Rhinolophus ferrumequinum: one gene and its partners. The protein of the gene in region 3 interacts with the protein of the main gene of each other region in a biochemical or structural test. Links are inferred from orthologs where the notes say so. Each region holds a gene or a part of one and is shown on either strand. Other genes may lie near its edges. The genes, in order: TNS3, SH2D1B, ERBB2 and SH2D2A.

The links.
Region 1: the proteins of ERBB2 (region 3) and TNS3 form a complex in vitro, tested with the Homo sapiens proteins (2 studies listed by BioGRID and IntAct, with this or other methods). The link is inferred for Rhinolophus ferrumequinum from reciprocal best matches to the Homo sapiens genes ERBB2 and TNS3.
Region 2: the proteins of ERBB2 (region 3) and SH2D1B form a complex in vitro, tested with the Homo sapiens proteins (2 studies listed by BioGRID and IntAct, with this or other methods). The link is inferred for Rhinolophus ferrumequinum from reciprocal best matches to the Homo sapiens genes ERBB2 and SH2D1B.
Region 4: the proteins of ERBB2 (region 3) and SH2D2A form a complex in vitro, tested with the Homo sapiens proteins (2 studies listed by BioGRID and IntAct, with this or other methods). The link is inferred for Rhinolophus ferrumequinum from reciprocal best matches to the Homo sapiens genes ERBB2 and SH2D2A.

What each region holds. Positions count from the first base shown.
Region 1 is NC_046303.1:1,022,884-1,030,227, reverse strand, and holds the start of TNS3 (tensin-3), read left to right. Parts: upstream 1-4,325; 5' UTR 4,326-4,337; coding exon 4,338-4,415; intron 4,416-7,344. UniProt on the Homo sapiens protein: May act as a protein phosphatase and/or a lipid phosphatase. Involved in the dissociation of the integrin-tensin-actin complex. EGF activates TNS4 and down-regulates TNS3 which results in capping the tail of ITGB1.
Region 2 is NC_046305.1:2,824,294-2,831,675, reverse strand, and holds the start of SH2D1B (SH2 domain-containing protein 1B), read left to right. Parts: upstream 1-4,367; 5' UTR 4,368-4,444; coding exon 4,445-4,578; intron 4,579-7,382. UniProt on the Homo sapiens protein: Cytoplasmic adapter regulating receptors of the signaling lymphocytic activation molecule (SLAM) family such as CD84, SLAMF1, LY9 and CD244. In SLAM signaling seems to cooperate with SH2D1A/SAP.
Region 3 is NC_046304.1:36,302,332-36,309,365, forward strand, and holds the start of ERBB2 (receptor tyrosine-protein kinase erbB-2), read left to right. Parts: upstream 1-4,032; 5' UTR 4,033-4,289; coding exon 4,290-4,362; intron 4,363-7,034. UniProt on the Homo sapiens protein: Protein tyrosine kinase that is part of several cell surface receptor complexes, but that apparently needs a coreceptor for ligand binding. Essential component of a neuregulin-receptor complex, although neuregulins do not interact with it alone.
Region 4 is NC_046305.1:1,171,360-1,178,678, forward strand, and holds the start of SH2D2A (SH2 domain-containing protein 2A), read right to left. Parts: upstream 3,002-7,319; 5' UTR 2,917-3,001; coding exon 2,883-2,916; intron 2,282-2,882; coding exon 2,121-2,281; intron 1,459-2,120; coding exon 1,274-1,458; intron 694-1,273; coding exon 604-693; intron 417-603; coding exon 248-416; intron 1-247. UniProt on the Homo sapiens protein: Could be a T-cell-specific adapter protein involved in the control of T-cell activation. May play a role in the CD4-p56-LCK-dependent signal transduction pathway. Could also play an important role in normal and pathological angiogenesis.

The DNA of each region.
Region 1 (7,344 bases), on a different chromosome or scaffold from region 3:
CAAAAAACCTTCTGCTAAGTATGTCAGAAGTTACCACTTTGTTCCTTAAAAGGAGCCATGAGCTGTGGGAGGGTGCTGGGAGCTCAGGCTGGGGGTTGCCCTGAATTCTGTAGCCACCGACCAAGACATGTGGGTTATGTTGATGGGACTAAAAGACCCCCTTGGGGCCAGGTGCTCCTGCGTTCACCACGTCTTTGAGCACCTGCTGGGACTTGGAGAAGCAGTGGCTGTGAAAGACGGAAGCTGAGGGGGCAAGGCCTTACAGCCCTGGTCCTAATACACCCTGCGAGGTGGCCCCCGTGGTCCCGAGGGGGTGCTGGGTTAGGTGACATGCCTGTGCTCCCTGACTCTCCGTCTCCCAGGCCCCCCACTCACCCCTAGGCGCCCCGGGCCTTGGTTTCCCCTGTGTTCAATGTTCCCCATCAGGAAGTATTAGAAAGTGGCCTGTGCGCCTGGGTGGTAGTGGGGAGCTGACGCCTGCTGAGCAGGGGAGGAGGGTGAGGGATGTCCTGAGAGCCAGGATTTGCCCGAGGTCTGCGCCCAAGATGGCCCAGGTGTGCCCGCCACCAGCACCGCTAGACGGGGAGGGAGGGCCAACTCAGAGCTGGGGGCACGAGAGCAGGCCCCAGACAGCTGTCTGGGCAGGAGCTCTGTAAACCGAAGGGTCTTCTTCGTTGTCAGAGGCAACCTGCTTCTAAGATGCTTTAGGTGTCTGGTGGGGACTCCTTGCCTCTCCAGGTCACAGCACGGAGGAGTGTACTGGCCTGTGACAGATGCTGCGTGTGCCAGGACTGGAGGGTGCAGACATTGGCGTGCCCAGAATGTTTGGTGACCCCAGCGCAGACCCCAGGCTGGGAGCTGGGGCAGGGCCAGCGGGCGTGGGCGCCCCTGAGGTCCGCGTGCAGGGCCTGCTCAGGTATTGTCCCCGAGCAGGAACATTGGCAGGAGAGTTGTGCTGTCACTGCCCTGGCATCCTGGCAAGGCCAGGACTGAGGAGGCGTGGGGGGCCTGTTCTGTTGTAGACTTACTGTTCCCCTTTTACAATAAAGGGAAGGGGAATGGAGACTGTGCAGAGCTTCTCCAGAGTGACAGTGACAGATGGTAGACTGTGGCTCTCCTCGGTGAGGTCCCAGGACAAGTGGGGACTAAAACCTTTCCCCTTCCTCAGCCCCACTTACTGCTGAGCCTTCTGCCACCATCCTCTCTGTCCCCAGGGTGGGAGGCGCCCTGAGGCCACGCCGACGTCTGTTTCTCCTCAGACCTTCACTGCGTTTCCTGATTTCTGTCAGTAGGACCCATGGCCTCATGGATTACTACTGTACCCAGTGGTTTCTAATCCAGTAGTATCGCTCTCAGCGGCCGTCACCAGCCATCCTTGTATCCGTGGCAGAGCCGGCCTCATCCAAGGGCTCCTGCCCGCAGTGCAGCCTGGGTGTCCAGCCCCAGGTGGGTGATGCAGCCCAAGGCCCTGAGCTGGGGCTTGTCCTTGCAGTCTGGTCCCCAGTGCTCTGAAGTCCGTCTTCTGCAGGCAGAACCTCGCTTTGGTTCTGGGCACTCAGTGCAGCGAGCAGCCCCAGCTGGGCGTTGGGTCCGAGAGGAGCATGGAGGGCTGCAGCCTTACGAGGGGCAGCCCAGTGGCAGGGTGAGTCGGGCGAGGCCAGGGTTGTTTGCGCCTGGATGAGTGGGCTCCAGTCCTGCCCTGGTTTCTGGTCCCCAGGGTCCCCAGACTGAGCTGACCCCAAACCCTTCTGCTTCCGCTTGCTTCTGAGGGGGTCGGGTGAAACACTGACATTGACGGCAAGGACAGGGAGCAAAGCCGACTGTTTCCTTCCTACCCCAGCATTTATTGCTCCCGCTCTGTTTTGTGTGTGGAAAACCCCAGACAAAGGTTAGGATTGCAGCCTGGAGGCACAAGACAGATGACCACACTCCAGGGCTATGCCCCAAGGATGAGGTCCGTGGGGTCGGGGGCATTTAACTGGTCAGGGAGGTGGGGCAGGAGGCGGGTCTGCAGCTGAGCCCAGAAAGGCGGCAGTTTTCAGTCAGAAAGGGAAAAGGAGACGCCAGAGTGGGGCCAGCAATCTCCAGGACACAGAGCTGAGGTGTAAGCAGGGCCGGGGAGGGGGGGCCGCTAGCACAGTGGGGAATCACTGCAGGCTCCCAGTTTTGCATTTGGGGAAGTAGCTTGGGCTTCGGGGCAGAGACCACGTCCTGATTGCTGACTACTTGTGGCAACCCCTTGGGGTGTATCACATGCATGTAGTAAAGTGTGGGAGTTTTCTGAATGGTGTACCTTTCAAATAAGTAGGAGACCTAGGGAGTCCCCAGGAGAAGAACCACCATTGTTTTCCAATCGTGCAGGCCTGGCCGTGAGCACTGGCATTCAGCACGAACATTTCCAGAGGCTGGGGTACCCCCAGAGAGCCTGGTCCTCAGGTCCACGGGAGCTTTACCATGTTAGGGGTCACCTGCTGTCTGCTGGGATCAGGGTCCCTCTGCCAGTCCGTGGGTGAGGCAGTGCTGCACCCCGTGGCTTCTGGGCCAGGCGTTTGCACCGCCCTGGACAGCACTGGACAGTACAGTGTGTGTACTGGTCCGTGCCCAGCCTGTGTTAGGTGCTGGGGAAGCAGACATGAATGCGGCCGGGTGTGCTCAGGCTCCTGCAGTCACGGGGGAGAGGGCTGTGTCTGCAGAAAAGAAAGTCTGAAAATGTGAATAATGACGACGGGGGCAATGAGTAGGGCTGGATGTCTGCTGGGCCAGGAGTCGGAACCCAGAATGGCACCCTCCTGGCCTTCTCGTGGTTGAAGGTCGGAGAGCAGCTCTCCTGTTCCACTGCAGAAACGGAAAGGCGGATGGATATTCAGCGCCAGAGCCTGAGAGGTTAACCAGCCGGAGTCCTCGGCTGGGCTGGAATTCGCACATGTGTTAACCATGAAGGCCCTGGTCCAGCCCACCCAGACGACTGCAGAGCTAAGGCATTGGGAGTTGCGAGCAGAGGGGAGGATCTGAAATCGGGCGTTAGACCAACACAGCTCTGAGCTGTGGACGCATCGCAGGTCACTAGAACCACACACGGCTGGGCCTCCGGGCAGGTCAGGTCAGGTCACTGGGGCCACTGCTGGGGGTACACGGGGGGGCCAGCCTGAGGCCAGAGGGTTCCCCAGCGCCATCTGCTCCCGTGCAGGGGCCTCCTCCGTGCCCCACTGGAGGGAGGAGGTGGCCCCAGCAGGACAGGGCCATGGCCAAGGTGGCCTTCCTGTCTCTTCCATCCACAGATGCGGGAGCTCCTGGTGGAATTAAGCCCCACTGCTCGTGTGGACAGCCCACGAGGACTCCATCCTGCGGGGTCTGGCAGGCCATGGAGAAGCCCTCCCTCCCTTCCCCGCTGCCTTTCCCCTCTCCAGGTGTCTGCCTTCTTCCTGTGACACCCTGTCCCCACCGTACAGCCCACCTTCACCTCCCAAACTCCAGGCTTCACATTTCCTTCTGAAACCGCAGCCCCCATGAGCAAACTGGGACTGGAAATCGGATGTGATGTGGGGAGCTGGGTGGCACAGGGATGGTGGGGGGCAGGAGGCCGGGGGCCCTGCCCCAGAGGAAGGCTCCTCATCACTTGCTTTCAGCGGGGGAATCCCTACCTCATCCCTCTGGAGCAAGGCTGCTCCTTGTTTTTCTTAGTTGAAGAGGCAAATCGGAAAGAAAGCCTTTCTTTCTGCCTGACGCTTTTCCTTCTTCCCACTAAACCCACGGTTGGAAGGCAGCAGGAATTACTAGCGATACTGGCCATTACCCGAGCACTAGGTGACTAGACGCATTCAAGACTTCAAGCCCTGAAGCCAAAGCGCCTGCGGGTTTTGATTTTGCACCTTGGTCAGAGTTACTGGAGAGCTCTGAAATCCTAGTCGGGCGGCACCCTAGCCGAAGGCGAAGGTAATCCAGTCGGAGGCGGCAGAAGCCTCGCCCCCCACGCCTGCCCCGGGGGCGTTTCTGCTCCACTCTCCCTGGGTTTGGCTGAGAAGCCTTCGCCTCCTTTCTGGAGCTGCGGTCTGAGGTGGGGGAGGGAGGGCTAATTCGTGTCAGATGGAGGGGCGCCGGGGGACCGTGCGCTTGCTCGCCTGGCTTTTGTTCCCTGCGTCTGACTTCTGAGTGCGGAGTGGAAGTGGAGGTGGCGGCCGTGTCCTTTCGGGCCTCCGGGCGTCGAAATTTTCCTGGGACTCCCAGACGCAGCGGCCCAGAAGGCACCCCTGTGGGGCACCGCCGCCGCCCGGAGAGTTGGCGCCCGCCGACGTCCTCACTTGGCCCGGCTGGGCTCTTCCCCGGCGCCGGGAGCCGCCATGCGGCTGCGCGCCCTGACTCGGGGGCCGCCTGGAGGATGCGCGCGCGGGGCCCGGGCGCGCCGGCACCGGCGCCAAGTGAGTGGGTGCAGGACGCTGGGAGCCGGGGAACCCGGTCGCTGGGGGCGCGGGGGTTGCAGGGCGCTGGGATGAGGGGGCGCCAGGGTGCGGGGCGCTCAGAAATGAATGCTTTCGGGCTGTAGCCCGCGCGTCCCGTGTGCGCTCATACTCGCGGCCGTGCACGCTCTGTGCAAGTCTGTACCTGTGCCCGTGCACCCTTGTCTGCGTGTGCACGTTCACGCTTGTGCCCTTGGTGCGCGTGCCCAAGTGTGCTCATATGTCCACGGGTGCGCGTGTGTCCTTGTCTGTGCCCCAGCGTGTGCGCTTGTGTACCCTTGCGTGTGGGCGCAGGAGAGGAGGAGAGATGGAAAGCGGGCCTTGCCTGGTGGGAGGCGGGCGCCCGGCTGAGGCCACAGAGTGGGAGACAGTTCAGGATTAACTTTCTAATCCAACCACCTCTTGAACAGGCTTCCTTGGACTCCATTCAGGGAATGGAAGTAGGACATGGGCCATTACGCAGACTCCCAGCGCAGCCCGTGTTGTCTTGCAAAGGAAAGGGCACTCAGCTCTGTGCAGACGCTGGGATGCGCTGGCCTGTTGCAGTAGTACAAGTTCCTGGCGGCTGCATCCGAGACCCTGGTCCACGGTGGGGCCTCCAGAGGCTTGATTTAAACAGAGCGAATGTGGGAGGGGCTCCCCGCCACCTCCCACCGGACCCGCAGCCCTTTCTTTGAGTTCAATAGTTGGGCCTTGGTGACATTCAGTTTCCTGGAAACTTTGGTAATGTTCTGAGGAGTGAGAGGTTGTCAACATGTCAGCTCCTTTCCCTCCTTCTGAGTTGTGTAGTGTCCTCATTTTCAACTCACCAGCCAGAGGGTCTTGCTGGGAAGCTTGAGGACGAGGTGTGGTGTGGGGAGGGTCCTGGGTCCTGTGGCTGCCAGTGGATGGACACATCTCCAGGAAGGGTCAGTCACCCCCCAGTTTGGGGCACACACTGTCCCTGTGGGAAGTTTCGTGGCCCTTTAACTTCGGAATCCAGCCGATTTGTGTTTTCACTGTCTGCCTTCCTGGACTGCTGAGGTTTCTTCAGGTCCCCAAATGCACCCTGGATCTTCTTTCCTGAGAGGAAGACAGAACTTGGGTTTTGCTGGTGTAGCTTTGTGTGGGAGCCCCTGGGAGGGAGGTCTGGGAAGCTCTGCCTCACCACAGAGCAGAGTGGGGTGGGGGGTGTGGCTCCCCTTCTGCACTCAGGGGTGCACTTCCTTCCCCAAATGTTCAGATTTTTCTTTCTAAAAAAACTCACAGTCAAGACCAGCGCTGACCACCAAGCACCCCTCAGGGTGGAACCCCTAGCCTTGCCCTCTCCCTTCCCAACCGCCTGCTCCAAACAATTGAATGCCATTTAGATTCCTGAACTGAGCCTGCTCAATACTGCAGTACCGAGGCCTCCCCTCCCCCTGTGCTCCTGGGCCCCACCTCTTTGGGAGAAATGAAAGCACCTCTCAGGTGAGAACAAAGGCTGTCTAATCCGCCTTTGGGCTCCTTGTGCAGATGCCATGTCAGCAGATGTCATTACACTATCTGAAATGAATCCTCAGGCATCCAGCCACTGAAATGGGTCCAGCCTCCCAACAGCACCTCTGCTGTTTCCTTCTTCCTCTCCCAGCTGTGGCCCAGCGGCCACGAAAAAAACCTCAGGAACACAGTGGCTCTTTCTCCCTGGTTGGAATAAAGGTATTTGTAAGGAATAAAAGGTCACAGTGTTTCCTCCTTGGCCCACAGACTGGCCAATTCATTTGGTCAACAAATATTAATGGAGGGTCCACAGTTCAGTGTCTGCAGGTGCCATGCAGGGCTCGCAGGACAAAGGATAAGAGCCCGTCGTCCTGCGTCTAGGAAATGACAGTGAAGCACAGGACCAAAGGCATAGAAACAAAGAACTGAAACTTGGGGGGGTGGGAGGAATGGATGTGCCAAACTGGGATTATGAAGGAGGGCTGTGTTTGTCACATGCGTGAATGCTTCCTCCTGTCTGAGCATGAGGCTGGGCTGGGCACCAGTCCGAGCCCATGTCCCTTACCCACTGGCTGTGTGGTCTCTGTCTGGCATCCTACAGCCCTATCGCTGGAACAGTGACGACCGTGGTTATGGCACGGAAGGGTCCTGCCAGTGCCGTGAACTTCATGATGGCAGCACTGTCATTCCCCCATGGAAGGAAGGTTCTCAGAAAGTGTTCAACCTCTTACAAACCCAGACACACATATGAAGACACATGGAGTAACAGTGCCTTACGGGCTGTAGAACACATCTTCAGGGTCTAGTCCATGGGTAGTGCTGGCTCTCAGTCCCACGTGCACGGTGGAGTTTCTGGGAGCTTTCAAAGAATTCACATTCTGGCCCCACCTCCTTAGTCTGGGGTGAAGCTGAGGCAGAGCTGTTTTAAAAACTCTGCCATAGCAATTCCCATAGGCTTCCAGTGCTCACAGCCGGCACCTGGGTGAGCCCTTGGTCACTTACAGTAGCTCTTTTAACAGGCAGGAGGCAGGGGGTATCTTTCCTCTTCAAGAAAGGTTGTGACTTGCCAGGGTCACAAAGCTTGTACTGTGGGTGGCAGAAGTGGTGACACGGCTTCTGCTTGGTGCAGGACACTTTCTCTCATTTGATAATCTCGACAAGATCAACCCAAACACCAGGAGATAAGTGCCCAGAGTGCTGCCGGACTGCTAAGGACTGGGGTGGGGATTGGAGTGATCCCCAGAGAAAACTGTTGCCAGCATTCCAGAGAGCTTGACTAGCAGGGGAAAGATGGCTGGCTGTCCCACGCATGCTCTGTGAGCTTGGAATGGCTGAAGCATTGGTACAGCTTAAGGAGTTTTGAATTCACTTTGATTTATTGCTGGGTATGGAATTCTAGGTTGGCAGCTTTTCTTTTGGTACTTCATGTTGC
Region 2 (7,382 bases), on a different chromosome or scaffold from region 3:
AAAACAGCAGACAAAACACCGCAGTGGGACTCGTGCGTGGTGGACACTCTGCCTTTACAGTCGGTCGAGTCAGAGTGGAGGCGACATTAGGGCTTGCAAGGGGTCCACGGGCAGGGTGAGGGAGGGCGCTTTCTACAGCCACCGGAAGGCTGCAGTGAGGAGAACCCCACCTGAGCCAACTTGGCACGTGGCCTCACTGAGGGGACCGTGGCAACTGAAGAAGTCAGTGACAGAGGCCCTAAGAGGTCTTTGGAAAGTCTCCAGATTCTAGAAAATGAGACTTACATTTCATACAAGTTCACTGTGGAAAACTGAAACAAAATCCAGAGGTATACAGAAGAAAGCAGAAACCCTCTAAACTCATGCCATGCATAAGTGATCCTTGGGACTATTTCGGCAAAATTCTTTCTAGACTTCTCCCTGTGCATTGACATACACACGCAAGCATTGCACACTTACAAACACACAACCACACTCGTGCACAGATTACATTTTTGAAAATTTGCCCACTATCTCTTTATGTTAAATTCCTAAAAATAGCATTGTTTGGTCAAAGACCTGTACATTTAAAACTTTGACATGCATTTATAAAAAATTATCCTGCCCTCCAAACACTGGGCCAATTTACCAGGTGGAAATTTTTTAAAGTATTCCTTACGGACGTGGGTTTCCTCGCTTGTGTCATGTCACGAATATACAAATGACTGGAAAGTGAGTCCACTCGCATCACCAGCACTCAGCCAGGAAGTGGAAGTTACCAGCACTGGGCCCCTCCCAACGAACCACGCGCTCCCCCCACAAAGGTAACCAGGGGCCCCCCTCCAACGCCACAGTCCGTTGTGTCCACATCGGAACTTCACGCAGTGAGCACTGAGCAGCCCCCAGTGTGGGGCAGCTGCAGCCCCTTCTAGTTCACGGCCACATGGACCCACAGTGTGATTGCACGTTTCACAGACAACACACTTGAAATGTTCTGTGGAGAGTGAGGTGATTCTTCCTGACTCCAGTGCTGGGGGTGGGGGGCCCCACCCTAAGCTGTGTCAGTCACACACCCCTGTGAGGAATGGCAATTGTCTCTCGATCTGTGAGCCTTGCGGGTGCATGTGTGCAAGCATGTGTGTGTGTGTGCATGCGTGTGTTTGCGTGTGTATGCATGTGAGTGTGTGCGTGTGCATGCGTGTGTGTGCGCGTGTGCTGGGCGGGATTGCGTCCTTTTCTTGGTATCCCCAGACACTTTCTTTCATTTATTTTTTCGTTTTTTGTTCTTTGGGTTTTTTTTTGTATCTCCATGGGAGGATGGATGTAAATATATATTTTCAAATCACTGTCATGGGTTTTTTCGGGTAAATACCCAGAAGCGGAATTGCTCTATTTTTAATTTTTTGAGGAACCTCTATACCAATTTACATTGCCACCAACAGTGCACAGGATTCCTTTTTCTCCACAGCCTCTCCGGCACTTGTTATCTTCTGTCTTTTTAAGGACAACCATTCTGAACATGTGAGATGACACCTCACTGTGGTTTTTTTCACTTGCATGTCCCTGAGACCCAAGGTCATTGAGCAGGTTTCTGTCTGTCTGTTGTCAATCTGTATATCTTGTTTGCAAATATGTCTATTCAGGTGCTTTCCCCATTTTAAAATTGGATTCTTTGGGGTTGTTTTGCTAGCGAGTGGTGTGTCTTTACACATGTGGATATTAACCTCACATGTGGATATCAAATGTGGTTTGCAGAACAGCTCGCCCACTCTGTAGGTGGCCTTAGCAGGCTGTTTCCTGACGTTTCTCTCCATGAGTCACCTGCATTCTTCATTTTATGGACAAGTTCTCTCCCTTCTACAGGCTGTTGGGCAGGTTATGGCCACCAGTTCACAGCACAAAAATACACCTATTTACAGGCATTCCTAGAGAACTCATCTCCATTCATATTTCCTCCTCCCACCCCAGTCAGTCCTCTGTGCCCTCTCTTTCTTCTTTTCCTCATTTCCTTCCAATTCCTCGGTAAGGGTCTCTGATTAGCCCATCTCAGGTCAGGGCCTACCCTTGGCCTCCCAGAACGTTCCATCTGGGACGTTACTATTTCAAGGTGTGTCTCTAGAACAGTGAGATTTGAGTACCAGCTGACACACGTCCTACGGAATGTCCCAGACCTGGATGTGTCTGTCTCGTGACAGTCCCATAAGACTTAGTGATACAGCCTTGACTCATTTCTGGTCCTGCTGTTTGGGGCCCACCTCAGAGGGATCCTCTGTGCTTCCTGCTGCATCCAAGTCTGGCTGTCCCCCTCTGGGACAGGCTAAGTCTGATCAGTGGGTTCAGGTGGTGACAGTTTGACCTCTCACTGGTAAAGGTCATTATCAAACTTGCCTAAAGTTTTCACCCACTGACTGTTTTTGCCCGAATTATTCCTTTCAGGAGGTGTTACAACACGGACTTGAGAGGGTTCTGTCAGTGAGTAAACACATGTCACTTTGCTAGACTGTCCTCCTTCCCAGTGTCACCATTTTACACTCCAATCAATGATGCATGAGACGTTATTACCCTAGTTCACCCCAGCATGGCCAACCCACTGTGTCCAAACTTGATTTTCACCAATGTGTAGGTGAGAGATGTTATCTCAGAGTGGAATCAACGTGCGTCACTCATGATGAGTGAGGAGAGGCGGGTAGGTTTTTAAATGTATAAAAAGGCAGGAAAACCCCTGTGATAATGAACAGACTCCCAATTACTTCCTCCTTTCTGTAACTAGTAGCCTTACACCAAGCTTGGTACTCAAGCAAGTTTCCTCTTTCAGCATTAAACGTTCTCTCCTTGACTGTCTTTATTCCCGAGAAATTAGGTAGCAAATTGCCCCAGGCTGCTCGAGAGAAATTGGGATTTGAAAGTATCTCTCTTGATTGTGTCACTGCATGCCGCTCCATGACACCAACGGCAGAGCAGGGGGACTTCCCCTGGAGAACACAAGTGTGTGGGCTGCAAGGAAGTCCAGTGGCAGCCAGACCTCACGGTGGCGATCAGGACAGCTGACACCGTCGCCTCGGCTAAAGTAAGGAAGGGCCGTGAACACAGGTTTGAATTGCCATGGGACGTACCTGAGATACGGAGCCACTCCCACAGATATGTGACTAAGGCAGCAGGACAGGAAGAGAAATTCCATTCCGTTTATACCAGTTGACACTGGATTACAGATACGCTTACATGGCTTATTTATGTGAAATTACTTAACCATTGATTAATGACTCAATCATCTGTGGGATGGTTTGGTTGCTCAAAGGAAATGGGGAGATGGGGGTGAAAGGGCATAAGCTCCTGTGGCCAAACGAGAACGCGCGGGGATGTCGTGTCCTGCATGGCGACTAGTCAGCACTGCCCTGCTGCTTGAGAGTTGCCAAGTGGGTAGGACTCCGTGTGCCCCCCCACAGAACGAAATGGCAATTACGGGACGTGATGGAGTGTTCACTGGCCTGTGGTGGGAGATCGAGTTATCAGGTCGTACGCCTTGAACTACACAACCTTATATGTCGATTAGGTCTCAGCCAAGCTGGGGGAAGGCCTGAGAAATTGCCCTCAGGGCCGCTCTGACCCTCAGGTAACAGGATCCAGCTTTCCCACGGTATCAGCCGATCAAGGTGGAAAGAGATTTCCTCATCAACAGCAGTGTGTCTAAAGGGGGTCAAGTGTCTCTGGCCGGATGATGCTTCCTGGTCTCTCTTCATGGGGACACGTCACTGCTTTGCACACCCACGTGTCCCTCCCACCTGCGCCTGCTACTTGTCCCCAAAACGCAAAGCTGAGGATGCTGAAACTGGCCTTGTTCACCTGTGGCAAGGAGCCTGAGGCAGGGGTGGGCCGTCGCCCCATGGAGTCCCACTGCGTCCTCCCCCACTGATGTCTTCCATTCCTCGTGACCTTTGACCCGTGGGAGTCCTAGCCTTTTCTGTCCCAGTGAGTCTGCACGTACCTGGGCCCTCGCAGCCTCTGAACACTTTCTGAGCGCCCGTTCTAAGCTGAGCACAGACCAACAACTCCAGCAGAAAATGGCATTCTTTAGAGCATGAGCAGTGCTGTGTTCCCGGAAGGGCCACCAGGAGCCAGAGCAGGTGACGCCTGGTGACTTCGGGTGCTGCAGCAGGCTCTGGGGAGCGTGACTGCTCCATGGCAGCCCCAGGGGAGCCCCATGTTCTCTAGAGTCTCAAGCACACTGTCGCCCACAGGTATAAGTCACACTTCGGCCGAGTACAGCCAAAATGGCTTGGTCACATACCACCTCCACCCTTCGCATTTCCTGCTCTTGCGAAATGCGTGGAGTCCACAGACCAGCCTCAAGTCACGCCCACTGGCTGGAGCAGGAAGGGGTATCTCCATTTGGCCAGCTGCCTCTGCGTCTCTCCTCAGAGCCACCCCTGACTCTGGCCTGAGTCCTAGGGCCACAGGGCGCGTCCCCATGGATCTGCCTTACTACCACGGCCCTCTGTCCAAGACTGACTGTGAGAGTTTGCTGCTCAGGGAAGGGGTGGACGGCAATTTCCTGTTACGGGACAGCGAGTCGGTGCCCGGGGCTCTGTGCCTCTGCGTCTGGTGAGTAGCCTCGCCTACCACACATTTCAAACCTTACATGAGGGTAGTAACGATAACCAAACAGAAAGGAAGCCATATTTCACTCTGACGTTGCAGCCCTGCGAGCAGAGGGAGACAAGGGGGGACCCAAGACAGCGGGGAGGATCGCGACTGTCCTCATCCTCAGCACGCCCTGCTCTCCCTGGTGCCACGGCCACACGAGCAGACTGTGTGCGGCCGCAGAAGTGGGGTGCTAGGGAACCTGCAGGAAGCCTGGGAGGTGAGGGGACACCCCTAGTTAGCCTTGCAACCAAGGTGCTCTCCTGCAGAGTCTGTTTATTTGGTTAAGAAAAAGGCCAGGGGTCCTTTGTGAAAAGTCTACCTGAGAGACCAAGTTTTTACACGGATTCTGTGGGCTCCACTTGCAATCCTTCAAATGCTAATAACAGTTCAATTCTGCTAGATTGGTAAAGGGCTGTGGCTTACGCCGTTCCCTCTCACCCATCTTGTCTGCCGAAGCAGCATAGGCCAGCACCGTGTACAGATGGAGAAACAGAGACGTGGGTTTCTCACTCAGTTTGTTTGTGTTCAGATTCACCCGGCGGTTCCAGAGTCTGGCTGACTTCAGGGTGAAGTTCCAGGCCAGAGTCAGCCCAGGGCCCCGTGAAGGCACCTGATCAGCCTGAGAAATAGCACCCCAGAGGTGTCAGTGGGGCCTAATACCTTTCAGTACTCTCCACATTGGGGGGACCACTGAACTTCTTCTGTTCGTTATAGGAATGAAAACCCAGTGCATGCATGCATGCTCCAGTGTTTCTCAGGACGAGGGAGTTAGGAGGACAGAAGTGACAGCACAGGTGGGGGTGGAGGGCACCCCCTCTTTATACGCTGCAACACAGGCATGAGAAATGCAGCCCTAAGGTGCTAGCAGTTTGCATTTTCAAGCTATGGGTAATACTGACAGTGATTTCATCAAATTTTCTTACTCAAAAGAGGGTAATTCTTCTTTTGAGATTTGTGCAATCACATCCCTTCCCCTCTTTTAGCTTTGGTTGTCTGTCTTCTGTTTTACCGATTTATTTCCAGTTTCTATGTATGAAGGTAAAACATTTTTTTGCCAAAAGGACAGATGCACAAACGATAACTACAGACCAATTTCAATTTCATTTAGTATCAGTTTTCAATAACCTACTAATCAAATTGAAGCCAGTAACATGTAAAATACATTCAAGTATGGTCCAATCTAAGACATCAAGGATGGTTCCCTGTCAGGAAAATTATTAGTTTAGAGTTTATTAATTAGAGTTTTAAAAAAATCAGTAGAAAATTAGGTAAAGTATAAGAGGAGGCAATTATCTGAAACAGAAGTGTGGAGAAGACATGAGAAATTGCCAGATCTCGCTTATAAGTAAAGAAGTACAAATGAACAGAATAACAGGACACCCTTTTTACGCTCAATGGGCAAGAATCAAAACTATGGAAATGCCCGAGGAAGTCAGAGTGGGGACAGCAACTCCGTGGTTACATGGCAAAAGCATAAAATGCCTGGATCAAACCTTTGGCCCCAAATTTCACTAATAAAAACCTATCTCCTAGTTAGTGTCCACTGCAAACCAAAATCCAGTAGGTATTCCATCAATAAAAAGGATTTATTCAGGAAAAAGAAAGGATTGCAGCCCGGTGCATGTTGACATGGACAGTCAGGTGAGGTTTCTGCTGGGGAGATGGAAAAGGTCTTTACAAAGGGGACACTCGGGGGACAGGACACTCAGGAGAGGGGCCAGAACCACAGGTCCCTGGTCAGCATAGTGTTCCTGCAGGGCTCTTATGATGACAGGGAGTGGGGTCCCCTCCCAGACACCCTCCCGATTCTCTCCAGGTTAGGATCACACAAGTATGTGCAAATCGACACTGACAAGACTGGATAAATCCATACCCGGTATGAGAAAACCGCCTGATCTATTGTTATGTGAAAAAAGGCAGGATGCAAAGTATGATTCCATTTGTGTGTTTGTTTTTTTTTAAAAAAGGATGCCTCTCTCCTTGAATATGCATATAAAATTTCTAGACGGTATATAACTTATCATCGTGGTTACAGCTGGGACATCTAGGAGGAGTGAGTAGGGAAAAGGGTATGGGGTTATTCTTTTCATGTGATGACTTCTTTCCACTGTTTGAATGTTTTACGTGCATGTGTTACTTTTGTAATTTCAAAAAATGTTTATAAAAATGCAGTGACGGTGATGGAAGGGGAGCTGACTCTGGGTGGTGAACACACAGTGTGATTTATGGATGATGTGATTCAGAATTGCACAACTGAAATCTTTGTAATTCTACTAACAATTGTCACCCCAATAAATTAAAAAAAAAAAAAAAAAAAAAAATGCAGTGAATTCTACTGCCTATTCCAACCCTGGGCTAGGGCCTGGGCAGAGTCTAAGGAGAGTCCGACATGTTCTAAATAAACAGAGCGAGGTCAAGTATAAATTCCAAAATAGACAGTTGTGTTCAAATTCAAGGACAGAGATGAGCAGAAAAGCCTCCAGAGGAGGTGTGATGAGCTGGGGCTTGACTGGGTAAGATTCGGTGACCTGGAAACGGGGTGCATGGGACTCTAGGGGGCAACGCAGGGATGGGTCTAGAAGACGGGTACTTTAAGGCACAGGCGACTCATGCAGGGTCCTGGGAAGGTCGTTTGGAAACCCACTTTGGGAAAAGTAGATTTGGGATATTATTATGGCGGCTTAACAGGAGGATTCCGTAGACAACGGGGAAACCTGGCTGGTTTCTGAGCAGGGACGTGTCAAGACTGGTGCTGAGTTCTA
Region 3 (7,034 bases):
TGGCTCAATAGGGCTTTCAAGGGATAAGCATGGGGGTTAAAGGGGTCCCCCACATCAACTCCCAAAACACTGTGACCAGGAACCATTCAATCTAATTCTCACATTTCAGAAGGCGAAGTGAAGCCTCACACAAGGCCACACAATCTAGCTGTTGTCTGAGGAAAGACCCCCAGATAAATAAAGACATATGTTAAGCGGCCAGCACAAACACACTGACAGCACAGGACTCAGGAACACAAAGTGTGACAGCCTCCCTCCTATGCACAGGCCAGGATGGAAGTCACATGTACTCATATACCTGCGTTCAAGCCAGCTGAGGCTGAGATCACAAGGGCACTTTTTTGTCTTGGCAAAGCAGCCTAGGGAGAGAGAAAGGCCTTGGGCCTGCAAGCCTAAGATGGGGGTGAGAGGGGCTGAGGGAGGTGATCAGGATGCCCAAGGTCAGCGTGTCCGACATGTCCGTTTGGCCTCTCCTCCTTTGTTAACCTTGGGACTAGAGCTAACCCCTGGGCCCAGGGACTGACCTTCCAGTGGTTGTAAGTGTTCTTAAAAGGCTAACTTTAGGAAGTACAGATTTCCTTATCAAAATCTTTCAAATAACTCTCCTGCGGCCCCAGGGAGGCCTGGTGCCTTCCCTGTGGGGACTCCTTCCAAGTAACTAATTCATAAAGACACTTCCTCAGCAACTCATGTCCCAGACTTGAGGCCCTGTGGGGTAGGCCCCAGTTTGTGGCCTGGACCTCGGACTGTGGACCGTCTCCTCCCTTTTTCTGTTTGTTTTCAGTGCTCTGACCCAGGCTGGCTGGTGAGGTAGGCAGAGGGAGGAGACTCTGGTGCCAACACACACACACACACACACACACACACACCACGCACGCACACACATACACACGGTTTTGTGTCCCCCAGTCTCAGCGGCTGGTCAATAATTGACTGGCGTTTCACAGGCTGCTGGTTTCAGACCCCAGTCTATTGACCCTCAGAGGTCATCTCCCTAAGCCAGAGCCCCTTCATGCCTCTTCAGTGCCAGTAGTCACCTTTGCTGCCCACAGGCCGGGTACCTGCAGCCCAAAGACCTTCTCGTGCAGATCTCATGTATCTTTCCTCTGCCCCTCCATTGGCTCCACTGTGTGCTGCAGTTATACCCCTTCTCTGTAGCTGTCTCCCTCCCCAGGGTCCTTCCTGGACCCTGCTGGCAAACTCTCAGGCTCATGTCGGTCCCCCAGCCCCCTCCAAACCTCCACCCCCACCCCCCAGCCTTTGTCTGTCAGATATCCTCTTTCGTTGGCTCTCCTGCCAGGCCATGCTGGAGGGGCAGTGGAGGGGAGAAGCGAATCAGCAGCGCCCACCCCTGCCCCCCTTCCTCTCCTCTTGTCAAACACCAGACAAGGCTTTTTCCCCTTCCTTCCCGGCTCTGAATGGGCTCATTCTCTCTGGGAACCCCGGCCCCTCTCGAACCTCCTCCCGGGCAGGCGTGAGTTCTGACCTCCGCTCCTCCCTAATCCCACTCCCGCCTGCAGGCTCCGCCCCCTCAGAGCAGCCCAATGGGACTGACCATGGTCTCCAGTCCGGGTTTCTTTCTGGGATGCAGAGAGGGTGGGCTTGTCTCGGCAGGGGTAGCAGGGGGTTGGTACGGGTAGTTAGTTACCGGGATTTCTTGGAGGACCCTCCTTTGGCTCCCCTGTAGGGGCCCTGGGTAAGGGTGGTTTCATGGTACCCTTGATTCAAGCTCTGGAGGGGAATGGATGAAGCCAAAGCCTCGTGCCTCAGTTTCCATTATCTTGGAACCTCAAACTTCCTCTTCTGCAAAATGGGGACAGATAACAAGCGCCTCCTCTGGCACCTTAGGACTCAGTGAGATAAGGAGTGTGCCTCTAGGACAGAGTGGTACAGAGTAGGGGTCCAGTCCAGGAAAGGATGGTGCCACAGAAGCGTTCCTGGCTGGACCAGCCCTCCTAACTCAAGGGCAGGGTAGAGTGGACCTGGAGGAGAAGGGACTTCTTTAACACGGACCCTAACACCCTGATTGGTCTCTTGAAGGCTCAATGCACACACGCTCAGGGGCAAGCCGTCCCGTGTGTGACCAGCAAGCGACTCTTGGAGCCAGGTTATCATCTCCTCTCCCTGGAGGGCTGAGAGACACCTTGACCAGGTCCTGGGCTATGTGCTGGGGTGAGGGTGAGGAGCTGATTTTGCTGGCTGTTTGACTTTTTCTTCATTAGCCCGGAGAGGGTCCTGGCCAAATTGGTTGATTCGTTTGAGCCTCCATTTCCTTGACCCTACCCTCTCTAACTCTTAACTTGAACCCTAGAGAAAATAGGAATATTGGTGCCCATCCTGAAAGGCAGCTGTGTCCCCATACACAGTAGTATTTCTTGAACGTTTGTGACTATGATCCAAAGAATCAATCCATTGGACCTCATCACCAAGATACACATACCCTTCCTTACCCATACTTACCCTTACTACATGTGATGTGTGCAAATCTTTTCTATTCCATTCCATTTCTTGAAAACAAACAAAAAAACTTGTCTTGATCATCTAAATTGGTTTCATGACCAACTTTCTAATAAAACCTGACTTGCAGTTTGAACATCACTGGTTAGAGCTGGAGGGGATTTACCATGGTGTTAAGGGAAGGTTATGTTTCAGGCCCCTCATTTGCATGTGTCAAATTTTGTGTTCATAACTTTGTATTCCTTTTCCTAAGGAGATCCCCCAAATTTCATAAGCTTCAGGCCCCACAAAACCTGATCTACCACAGTATAACTAAACCTGAGACCATTTATTGAACAATTACTATATGCTAAGTACTGGGCTGAGTGCTTTAGCAGCATTATCTCCTTTAACCCCTAGCTTAGAATGCCAGATGCTATTTTACAAGGAAGCAAATGGGCCCAGAGAGGCTCAGTCACTTGCCCAAGGTCACACACACACAGCTAATTTGTGGTGAAGTGGAGATTTGCACCCAGGTCATTCTGATCCCAGAACACCCTGTTCTCAGCCCCCCTACTGTAAAAGTGCCTGCCTGTAACCAAGCTGGGAATATGGAAGCAGATTAAGAAATGCTACTGTCCCTCATTCTCCAGCACTCAGCAGGTGACTCTGATCCCCTCTGGAACAGCACAAGCTCTTGTCTGAGGCATTCCAACTAGAGTTACCAGATTTAGCGAATAAAAATAAGGATGCCCAGTTAAATATGAATTTCAGATAAACAACAAATAATTTGTTAGTGTAAGTTGTATGTCCCCTGCAATGTTTTGTTGGAATGTCCAACAGAAACATGCCTTTCTTCCATCCCCTGCCCCCACTCCACGCCCCACCCCCCACTGGGCTTTAAGGACAGGGTCAGGGGCTCCAGGTGGAATGCAGGGTGGGGAGGTGGAATTGAGCAAGCTAATAAAAAGCAAGGGACAGAGGCAAAAACCTCGGATAAATTGGTGTTGAATGCCCCAATGGTAAAGAAACAAGAAGGATGTTTTTCCAAGGACTGAGATGGAGGTCCCTCCAATTTGACTCTCTCCCTCCAAACTTGTAAACCCTCTTAAAATCATGCTTTTCAGACTGGAAAAGATACCTGAAAAATTCGAGAAGGTATCCTAGGGAGTCCTGGAAGCCACAGGTTAAATACAATACACACCCCTCCTCGACTATCAATTTTACCTCAGAATGTGGTGGGAAAATCATTATTGGTATTAAAACGGATAGGCATGTGATGGAGTAGGATGCAAACTCGCCAGAAATGTTTAAAATAAAACGGGCGACTTAAAAGAGACTTAAGGATGGCAGCCTAAAGCCCTTGCCCCAGACTCCCGGGGGAGGGGGCGCAATCACGTCCTGTGCTTTTAGGGGCTCTCTATGGAAACGAATGAGAAGTGCGGCAGGCACCCCGGGCGTCCGGCCGCTGGGAGGGACGCGCACCCCAGGCCTGCGCCGAGAGAGGGAGAAAGTGAGGCCGGGAGTTGCCACTCCCAGGGACTTGCAGGAATGCGGTTGGAGGGGGTGGCGGGGGGGGGGGGGCGAGCTGTGAGCGCGCTGGCTCCCAATCACAGGAGGAGGAGGAGGTAGAGGAGGAGAGCTGCCTCGAGGAAGTACAAGAATGAAGTTGTGGGGCTGAGATTCCCTTCCATCGTGCACGGAGAGCTCAGAAGATCCCCCCCAGGCAGCGGCCCGCCCCTTTGCGGGGTGCTCTTTCCGGCGCCGAGCGCCTGGCCTCTCCGCCTGCCTTGCCCGGCGCCCCCTCAGCCTGGTCCAGCCGGAGCCATGGGGCCGGAGCCTCAGTGAGCACCATGGAGCTGGCGGCCTGGTGCCGCTGGGGGCTCCTCCTCGCCCTCCTGCCCCCTGGAGCCGTTGGCACCCAAGGTGGGTCTGAGTTGGGGAGGGCAGGGAGCCGCGACGGGACCTTGCAGCCTGGGACCCCGCTGAAATCCGCGGGCAGGCGAGGTAGGGGGTGCCGTACGAACTTCCAGACCCGAAGTTTCGGACAGTCCAGGCGCTCGGAGCCGCCGGCCCTCTGCGGGGAGGGGGCAAAAAAAGGTGGGGCAGGGGGGTCAATTAAGACGCCTCTCCGTGTCTCTTTATGGAGACAGGCGCTTTCCGGACTCCGCGACAGCTCCGGGAACTTTTCAGAAAAGTTCTCTGAAATTGTTCAGAAAGTTTCTCTCCAAGGGTGTATTGCACTGTGTGTGTGTATGTGTCCCCTTCTTGAGCCCCCTCGAGCTTTCTCAAAGCCTTTCCAGTTGGCAGCCTCCGCCTCCGGACTGGACCGGGCTGGATTCCCCGGGGGTCCCTCCTGCCCTGCCCCTACCCCTACCCCCTCCTCGCCCCCCTTCAGCCGACTGGGTTTAGTTACTCCAGCTTCAGGCAAGATCGGGGTGTGGAGGGGGAGGTGGGGAAAACAACCTGTCCGGCCAGAGCCGGGAGGAGAGGCTGGCCAGTCGGACTGCGAAGTTGCCTCACGCTGGAGTCGGGGGTGTGGGGGGGGAGGGGGAGACGTTTGTTTTGAACAAGTTTCTTTAGGGCCAGCTCCTAAAGAGACTGTGTGCTTTGTGACTTTTGAAGAGCAGGGGCGGCAGAGGGGTGGTGGTGGGTTTCTTGGTCTGGGGCATAAAATGGGAGAGTTCTATGAGAGGGATTCCTGGGCAGTGGGAGGCGAAGAAATAGGACCAGACAGGGGTGTGCAGAGGGGTGGATTGTGCTGCCTTTCCCCTCGTGCTGTGTGTGGAGAAGCTGATGGGGAGACTACCGAGTGTCTGGCCGCATCTGTCCATCCCGATGCAATAACGATTAAAGCTGGAAATACTGCGTGGTATTTTGCATGTGTTCCCTCCTTTAATCCTCAGAACAACCCTATGAGAGAAGTTCTACTGATATTCCCATTTTCCTTCTGAAAACCTGGGCTTAAAGAGGTTAAGTAGCAGCAAGTAAGTAGTGGGGACCCCAGTGAGCCCCCAACCATACATTTGAAACCACTGTTAATCCACCTTGAACAATGGCGTCACTGCTCCCTGCGGCACTGGGTCCTGGGAGTAGTGGGTGGTCTCCATAGATCAGGGAGTCTGGAGAAGGGGTGGGTGTCATCCTGTCTGTGTCACCTGAGGGCCCCCCTGCCAGAGCATTGCTGTGATATCTGAGGGGTGTTCTTGAGGTGTGTGTATGTGTGTGCGTGTGTGAGTGTGTGTGTGCGTGCGTGCGCGCCCGCTTTGTGTTGCCAAACACTCTCTCTGCTGACTTGGGGACTTGACTGAACTCTGCCCTCTCAAGGAACTCCCTGAAGGTGCTGGGCCAGCTCTGCTGTAAACAGTGGGAGGTGGCCCCACGCCTTCTCTCTGAGGAAGAAGTCTCCTCTCCGGGAGGGAGCCCACCCTTCCCTGTTACCCAGGCCGAGTCTTCACCTCTGACCTGCTGAGAAGGCTGAGGGCTGGCTGGGCTGTCAGGCTGAGCTGTTGTCCTCCTCACCTGGGCCTTCGAGTTGAACAGGTGGGGAATGGCTGGGTTGCTGCAGTGCTGGGATCTGAGGAGTCAGTTCCCCCACGGGAGACTGGGGTCTCCTCGTCACTCCTCAACCCACACTGCGGGTGCAGTCAGATGTTGAATGTGTTGCTGGAAATGGTCTAAAATGGCAGCACACCACCAAGCTGCCTCTAGCACCCTTATTACATCCAAGGGCTGAGAGCTGGGTTAAGAATGTGGGGAGAAGGGGAGATGGAGAAGGACCCAGAGAGTCGGGATTTTTCTGAGATCCTCTCTTAGAGGTCAAGGTTTTATAAAGGATAGCAAACACATCCTTTTTATCTTGCAGAGCTCATATTTAATTCCCATATGAGTCTCCCAACAGCCTCTTTCCTTCTTTTTACTATACTTAGGGAAAGTAACTTCATTTTAATACTCACAGACACACAAACAATTGAAAAGATGGGATCCAATGCAAGAAGAGAAAATACATTGCATTCCAAATACAAAGCACCTTTTCTTTTCTCTCAGTTGGGAATTACCCATACTACTGCTGTGTGAACTTCCCTTTCAAAAAATGTACATCGTGTTTCCTACATGCCAGGTTCTTTATCCATACAGTTTCATTTCATCTCTGCAACAATCCTGTGAAGTTTCTGCACAGATGAGAAAACTCAAGTTCAAATAAATGAAGTGACTTATCCAAGGTTTCCCAGTGACCCAATAATGTCCAGGGCAATTTTGGACTCTAACGAGGAGGCATTAAGAGTTGGTCAGTCTTGTTCCATTCAATAGGAATGGGTTGAGCAAAGCCTCAGGGGCAGCCGGGTAGCCCGACTATTCTGTTACGCAGGTGAATGATCTTCCTTATTTAGGCTGTAGAAAGTGTAGCTCAACTGGCCCCCACCCGTGTCATCGCTTGGCTTTGGAGTTCTCTCTCTCTCCCTGTCCAGCCCATGTCTGCTTCTTTCTTGGGCGCTCCCAGAGTGGCAGGGAACTGAGAGCAGGAGTGGGGCAGAGGCCAGTGGCACTTACAGGGTTGTGGGGAGGGAGACAGCTGAGTGGAAGCATGAGGGGCCAGG
Region 4 (7,319 bases), on a different chromosome or scaffold from region 3:
CCTGTCTGGGCACTCTCACTCTCAGCCCCTGGTGGCTCTGTGCGGCGGGGATGGTTTCTTAATGCCCCTCCCCGAGCGTGCATCTTTCTGGAAGGGCTTCCGGCCCAGACGTGTGGGCAAGAGGCATGGCTGGGTAATCTGTTGTGAGGAGAAAGGGCCTTGTCCTGCGGCCTGAGCTCTGCGTGAGGAGGGGCACGGCCTAGGTCCCCGGCTGAGAGTCAGGGCGGTGTCAGGGGGTGGCTCATACCTGCCGGGCGAGGGGCTGGCTGAGCGTCTCCCCATACGGGCTGAGCGGGCACGTGGTGTAGTGCAGCAGCAGGTCCTGCAGCCGCGTGTGGGCGCTGTCCTCACCCAGCACCACGTGGCGCCCGTCCTCAAGCTGGGCCAGCAGGAAGTGGCGGCAGCAAGTCCGGCTCCTGGAGGGCGCCAGTCCGGATGCGACCAGGGATGCGACCCGCTCCCTTTCCCCGGCCAGCGCCACCCGCCCTGTGCCAGGGTGTCCCACTCTCAGTAGCAGGGGTGGGGAGTGGGGAGAAGGGGGGCGGAGCAAAGAGGGGTCGACAAGTTCAGCCCCTCGGATTAGCGGGACGCCCCGCCCCTCACCTGTAAGTCAGCACAAAGGTCACGGCGCTCTCGCTGAACCGCACCAAGTAGCACCCCTGCGGCCTGGTCTCCAGCAGCCTTTCGGCTTCCCTGTGTGTGGAGAAGAGACAGCGCTGCTCTGACTCTTCCAGCCTCTGCTGTCTCCCAGCTCTCATGGGGGACCCTTACCCCCAACCAAGCAGGCTGAAGTGGCTAGAGAAGAGTGGAGGTGGGAGAGGGGATGTGGGCCCCCCAGGACAGCTTCCAGCCCTGCATCCTGGCCTTGTCCTGGAAGGGCCGCGCAGCACCAGGGATGGCAATAGACTTTTAGATGTCACACGTTACAAGCGGAACAGAGCAGGCAAACACAGGAACAGGAGAAACAAACTGAGGAACTGCAAGGGAGGGAAGAGAGAGCAGAGGGCTGGGCGAGCCCGAGGGACACAGGCGGAGACCAGGAGGAGCGAGGCCTTAGATAGGGGAGGATAACTGAGCCTAGAGAAGGGAAACCGAGGCACTGAGGGGGTTGGGCTGGAGCCTCTCCGCGATCTCCCCCAGGAGAGGTGCCTTAGTGAATGGCCCCGGGAGCCTCCAGGAGGAGATATACCTGGACTCGTAGCCTCAACCTACTCCTGAGACGCAGGACTTGTCCCCAGGCCTCTCTGGGCCTGTTTCCTCCTCCGTGACTCACCTCCGGGTGATGAAGCCGTGGAACCAGGGAGGGGCTGCCCCATGCTGCAGGAACCCGTGGGCCTGGGTCTTCTGGAACCAAGCCCGGGTCTCGGCCTGCAGGGGCTGGTCTCCTTCCCTAGGCCCCTCGTCAGCCTTTCCAGTGTCCTCTGGGCTGGCGGCAGCCCCTGGGGCCTGGGGAGATGCCTGGTTAGGGGGAGAGTTCCAGGAGGGAAAGGAGCCATGACTAGTGGGCCTGCACCTGCCTCCACGCCAGCGGCCATCTTCTCATCCTCACCCCCAGCCCCTCCTGGGCGTGGGGTGGAAACTCCCAACCCCCCATCCTACTTGACTGTTTTAGGGTAGAATCGCCCAGGAAGCCCTTCCCAAGGTCTAACTTAAGTCCCATCTTTAGCTCCAACTGTCCTGGTTTCCCTGCAGGCCTTCTGCTCCCCGCTTTGCTCCTGGGCCTTTGCTCCAGCAGCAGCAAGTGGCAGGCTGTGCTTAAATGTGGCGAGGCCTTCCAGTGGCCAGAAGGTCATTCCCTGGGCTGAGGAATGACGCAGGAGGTCACCCCCCCAGGCCAGAATGAGGGAGCGCTCACCTAGGAGGGGGCACTGGCAGGGCCAGAAGACCAGGGTGTGCTGGGCAAACGAAGGCCGTGAACAAAGACGTAGATGGCTGCTTCCGGACTCAGACACTGTGCCCTGGTCACCTGGGACTCAGCCTGAGCTTCCCAGCTTGTCTCCTTCCCTCCCTCTGTGCCCCACATCACCCCTGCCATCTCCCACCCCTGTCCATCTGCCAGTGCTCCCCCAGGGGAGGGCTGAGGGCAGATGAAGTTGCTGCACGCCCAGGCCCCCACTCACCGAGGCGTGGACAGCAGGGGCTCTGGGGCTGGGCTGGGCCTCCTCGACCTTCAGGGCCTGGAGCCTGGCCCTCGGAAGCAACCCCAGGCCCTGGCAGCCCCTGCTGGTGACATCCAAGGGCTGAAAGGTGCTGAAGGTTGGCGTGGGGGCTTTGCGGTTCCCTGTGAGCAGAAAGAGGACAGCTGGGGCTTCTCAGTGAGGGGCTGCCTGTCTCCGTGTCCCCCATGCCCTGCAGGCTTAGAGGGGCCCTGCATGCCTGTGACCAGGGACCTGGAGGAAAGGGACGGTTATGACAGGAGGAGAAATGCAGGTGGGACATGGGGCACTTCTCAGGGAAGAGGAGTAAGGGGCCCAGGGGGCACAGAAGGGCTGAGGCAGCAGAGAGGCTTGTCCTGGAAACGGTACCACGAAGGGGATCTGAGATGTCAACTGGCCTTCCGGTGGCCCGGAGTCGGTCCCACAGTCAGGGAGGGAAGGCAGGCCCTCCTCTGGCCCAGCGTTCTGCGCCTTCCCCTTTCCCTCCTGCCCTCTCCTCCTTCCTCCCTAAGAAGCATACAGCAGACCCTGTCACCTTTGTTCTCAGGGCTGAGTGGACCTGCAGCCCCAGAGAAGGAAGAGGGGTTGTGGGCACCAGCAATCAGCCTTGCCAGCTCCAGCTCTGGGTGGGGCCCCGTCCTCTGACTGGGGGCTCTGGCCCTGAGAGAGAGCAGGGACCTGGTGGTCTTGTCCCCCCCGACACACATTCTTCAATGTCACACGTACCTTGGGGGCCTCCCTGGGCCAGGGGGAACTCCATGGGTGCAGAAGGAGCCTGGGAGCAGGGCGTGTGTGTGTGTTCCCACAAGGTGTGCACACTCAGCAACTCGCTTGTCACCCCAGCCCCCAGGGCAGGAAATGTCGCCTCCCCACAGCCCTGGCCCTGGCAGAGGACCCACGTCATGGAAAGTCGTAAGACACTGGTCCCTCCCCCGGAAGCCAGGAAGCTAAAGGTGGTGGCGGTGTGGTGGTGGGTTTTTGTGTCACTCTGTGCCTGGCTGTTGGGGAGTCCTAACTGCCATCTGACCTGGCTCCCCGATTCTCTGTCCACTCCCTGCAGACCGGGACTCCCCCTCTCTCTCTGCTTCTGCCCTGAGCAGTGGCAGTGGGGAGGTCAGCCTCAGGGCTGCAGGATCCTTGGAGGTTTATATTCAGGATTGTCCTCTTAGGACACCTGAGGAGGAGAGCTAGGAGGGGAGCGGGCAGTGCTGCAGCAGGAAGGGTGCGGGCAGACTTCTGGAATGACATTCTGAGGTCATATAAAATCTGAGAGGAGAGGTGAAAGGAGGGGGCCTGCCTTCATCCTCCAGCAGATAAGGAGCTGAGTCAGGGCGGGCAAAGCCAGCAATCCTGGGGGAGGGGTGGGGGAGGTGGCCTCCAGCTGGGCAGGCCCCTAGTAGCTGGGCCACTGTTAGCCCTTGTTGTTCTTTATTCAGTGCTGGTCTTAAATGCCACCAGAGGACTAGTTTCTCTCTCTTGTGATGCTCACACACGAGAAGGGGACTGCGAACATTATCCCCATTTTCCAGAAGGGAAAGCTGAAGCTCAGAGCGGCGCCTTGGCCAGGGTCCGTCCATGTCTCAGAAGTTGGTGAAAGGGTTGAAGCCAAACCTAGATCTCTCGCGCCGTGACAGCCAACGGTCCATGCTCTGTGCCAGGCACTGTTCTTGGTGCAAAGAACCCAGAGAGAAAAAGGATCTTGTCTCAGATTGTGTGGGGCGGGATGGATGTGCCCATGAATACTCACAGCGGGGAGTTAGTGGTGTGGGCGGGCCCCCGGGAGCCCCTGGTGCGCGTGTGCGGCTTGGGGTGTCAGAAAAAGATACTGAGCTGTGCTGTGGAGGAAGACGGGGAAAGGTGTTTCTAGAAGACGGGTGAAATGCACGGAAGAAATGGCGTGCTGCAGGGTAGCTGCTGGGACAGTGGCACTAGGGCTGCCACCGGTGGTCATGCAGCTGGAGGGGACACCCCCGGATTGGATGGGTGCGGCCTTGCACCCAGGACAGAGTGGCACAAGGAACGGCACACTGCTTCCTAAATGCCCTCCCCCGCCAGAATGAAACGCGCTCCTTCTGCTAACACATCAGTAGTGAAAGCAGGTCGCGTGGCCGGGCTCATTTCTAGAGTCAAGGGTGTGCCTTCTTCCATACGCCCCGAAGGGGAGGAGAACCAGCTTGGTGGGAATCCCTGCCGTCTACTGTCTACTAGACAGAGGAAGCACCCAGCTCATTTTTCCAGTCAGCAGGGCAAGCTTAGCAAGTGTCTTAGCAGGTCCCAATGCAAGCATCCAAGTGGGACCCTCTCCTTGGGAGGTACACGCTCAGGGTGAGGAGGACGAGGAAAAGAGGGGTGACCCAAGAAAAACATGCAAAAGAACATTGCTGCTTTGGTTACCACTTCAAAATGAGCCGCAATCAGACACCATGGCTGCTTGATGGGCTTTGTTCACTTGGCAAAGGGGCCCTTGTCCAGACAGGGTACAAGGTAGAACCACACCTTGGAGTAAGAAGTCCACAGGCGGGAGAAAGGAGGGGACTTACCTCCCCAGCTGCCTGTTCCCTCCCACTGTCCACTGGTCAAGGTTATGCCACAGGAAGGGACTTAGAAGTGGTTGCGTCTTTTGGACGCAGTGTTCACTCAGGGAGCAGGTTCCGTGGCTCCTGCATTGTGCGCTGTTTGGGATGAGACAGGATTACGGTCAGGACACAGAGAGACAGGCTCAGGGTGTGCTCTGTGAAGACCTAGGACTTCACCTTGGACTTCAGTCAGCTCAGGCCGCACGGAAAGTGCTCTGAGGGAGGTGGCAAGACTTTGGAAATAAGGAGTCGACGAAGAGACTCTCAGGACATGTACACGTGTGTCCCACACCTGCAAGTCAACGCTCACACCACAGTGCAGGGCAGACATGTGTCCTGTACAGACATGTGTTCTTATTCCCCAAGAAGGGAGCTTCAGGTCCGTGAGATCACATAGCCCCCTTCCAGGTAGAGGTCGAGTGTTTTTCTGAAAGACTGAAGAAAGAGGATTAGTGAAGAGAACAACCCCCCCAGCTGTAACTGGGGCTGGGCCTGGGTTACAGAGGTGTTGGGGGAGATGGGAACAGGGGAAAAGGCAGAAAGGAAGGGCGTGGAGGGACTGCACAGCCCCTGCAGCCCACAGGGCCGCCTTCCCAGCCCAGATTCTGCAGAGAATCCAGAATCCTGGTCACCCCACCTTGCGATTCTGCCTATTGGACAGGGAGGAGCCCGGAAACGGGCTCTGTCTCCATCCATCCCGCTGCGAAGGAGACACAGGGGATTGGTGCTGCTTGGAATTAGGTCCCCACCCCTCACGCTGATTGTCCGCTGCTCTGTAACCTGCCCTGGAATGGATCACAGCGGCAGGAGCGTCTCTGTGCAGCCTCGTGATGCCCAGGCGCGGCTCGGTGTGGCTGCAATCCCGCTCTGCTCCGCACGCTTCTAGAAACCATGCCCAGTACTCCATACACTTTGTCATAATTGCAGCGGAAGCAGTTTTCGTTTTTAAAATGGAATCACTCGCTGTCCCTGTCTGGAGGCCTGGGCCCAGGCCGTGGAGTCCCCAGGCACCTGGGCTGGAACTTGATTAGAAGTCAAGGGTGAAAAGGGCGCCCCAAGCACAGGGCCATGCCTCGGGGCTATGTGAAGAGCAGGTGGGGTTTGGGTTGGACCCCCTTGCCGCCCCACTTCTTTCCTTCTCCTCTCCCCTGCCTGGGTGATTTGGGGACGTGTGTGCTGCCAGAAGTTTCCTCAGGCTGAATCCCAACACCACCCAGGAGAGAGCTGGCAGGAGCAGCAGTGGCAGGAGGGTTGTAGGGAGTCCCCGTGCCAGGCGGCCAGTGGCCGTGTGTCCGGAGTGGGCAGTGCCCAGAGGGGTACAGAGAGATTGTGAGGACACTGGATGCTGGGAGTTTGCACAGGCTGCAGAGGGGCTTCTGGGTGGCCTGAGGGTCAGGTCCCATGGTGCTTGGAGGCCACCAGGAGGGGAGACCATGGACAAGTGGAGAGGATCCTGGTGGTCTCAAGGGTCCCCAGAGGAGCAAGGGAAGCTCCAGGCGTTCTGAGGCATCTGTGAAGCTGAGGGGGCGTCTTTGGGGTCAGGACAGGAAGATGTTCAGGGTGTCGGCACCTCATAGACTCTGGGGGCTGGAACTCGAGGTCTAGAGGGGATGGGGCTCAACAGGTCCCCTCTTCTCTCGTCCAGCATGGTCCAGCGTGTAGACGCTGTGCCTGAGAGGGAGTCATGGCAGCCAGTGTTGCGGGCTCCTGGTACTGCCCGCGTGCAGCCCAAACATCACCCACGGCCTCTGAAGGAGGAAGCAGATCGGCTGGCAGATGTCCCAGCTCAGGCATCCTGCCGTGAGCCTGGCAGTGGACTTTCCATTTGACAGATGAGCTAAACTGAGGCCAGGAGAAGCAAATGCTCAAGCAGACTAGGAGGTAGGTTTACCCTAAGATTTGGTTCAGTACTTTTTCCTCTCTGCCCTCTGCCCTGGCTGGTTTGCTATCATTCATTCATCGAGCAGCCACTGACAATCAGTTATGTGCTGGAGTGTGAGGTCGTGTCAAGGACTACAAGAATAAGACATGCGGGTAGGGGAGATACACAGGTAAACAATCCTAGACGATTCAGAATGACAGGAGCTAAGCTAGAAGCATGGGGTTCAGCGGGTGTAGGAAGGAGTGGTCCTCCTGCCTGGGACAAAAGGGTCTGGGGGAGAGAGGTCAGGAAAGGCTTCGCAAGCACCAATTGGCTGTTACACAGTAGTCGTGGGATGTGGGGTACAGCACAGGGAATAGTCGATAATATGGTGACAACTACGTGTGGTGTCAGGTGGGGACTATACTCATTCGGGGGATCACTGCGTAAATTATATAAATGTCTATCCACTCTGCTGTATACCTGAAATTAATATACAATAATACTGAAAGTCAATTGTAACTGAAAAATTAAAATGACTGTAGTCGTTTTAGTCAACAATACGGTGACAGTGTGGATGGTGTCCGATGGTTGCTGTCCTTGTCATGGAAATCACTTCTTTGGGTATAGAAATGTTGAATAACTATGGTGCACCCCTGAAACTCATATAATAGCATATGTTAGCTATATTTTAATAAAGATCTTTTGTAAAATAAGAAAGCTTCA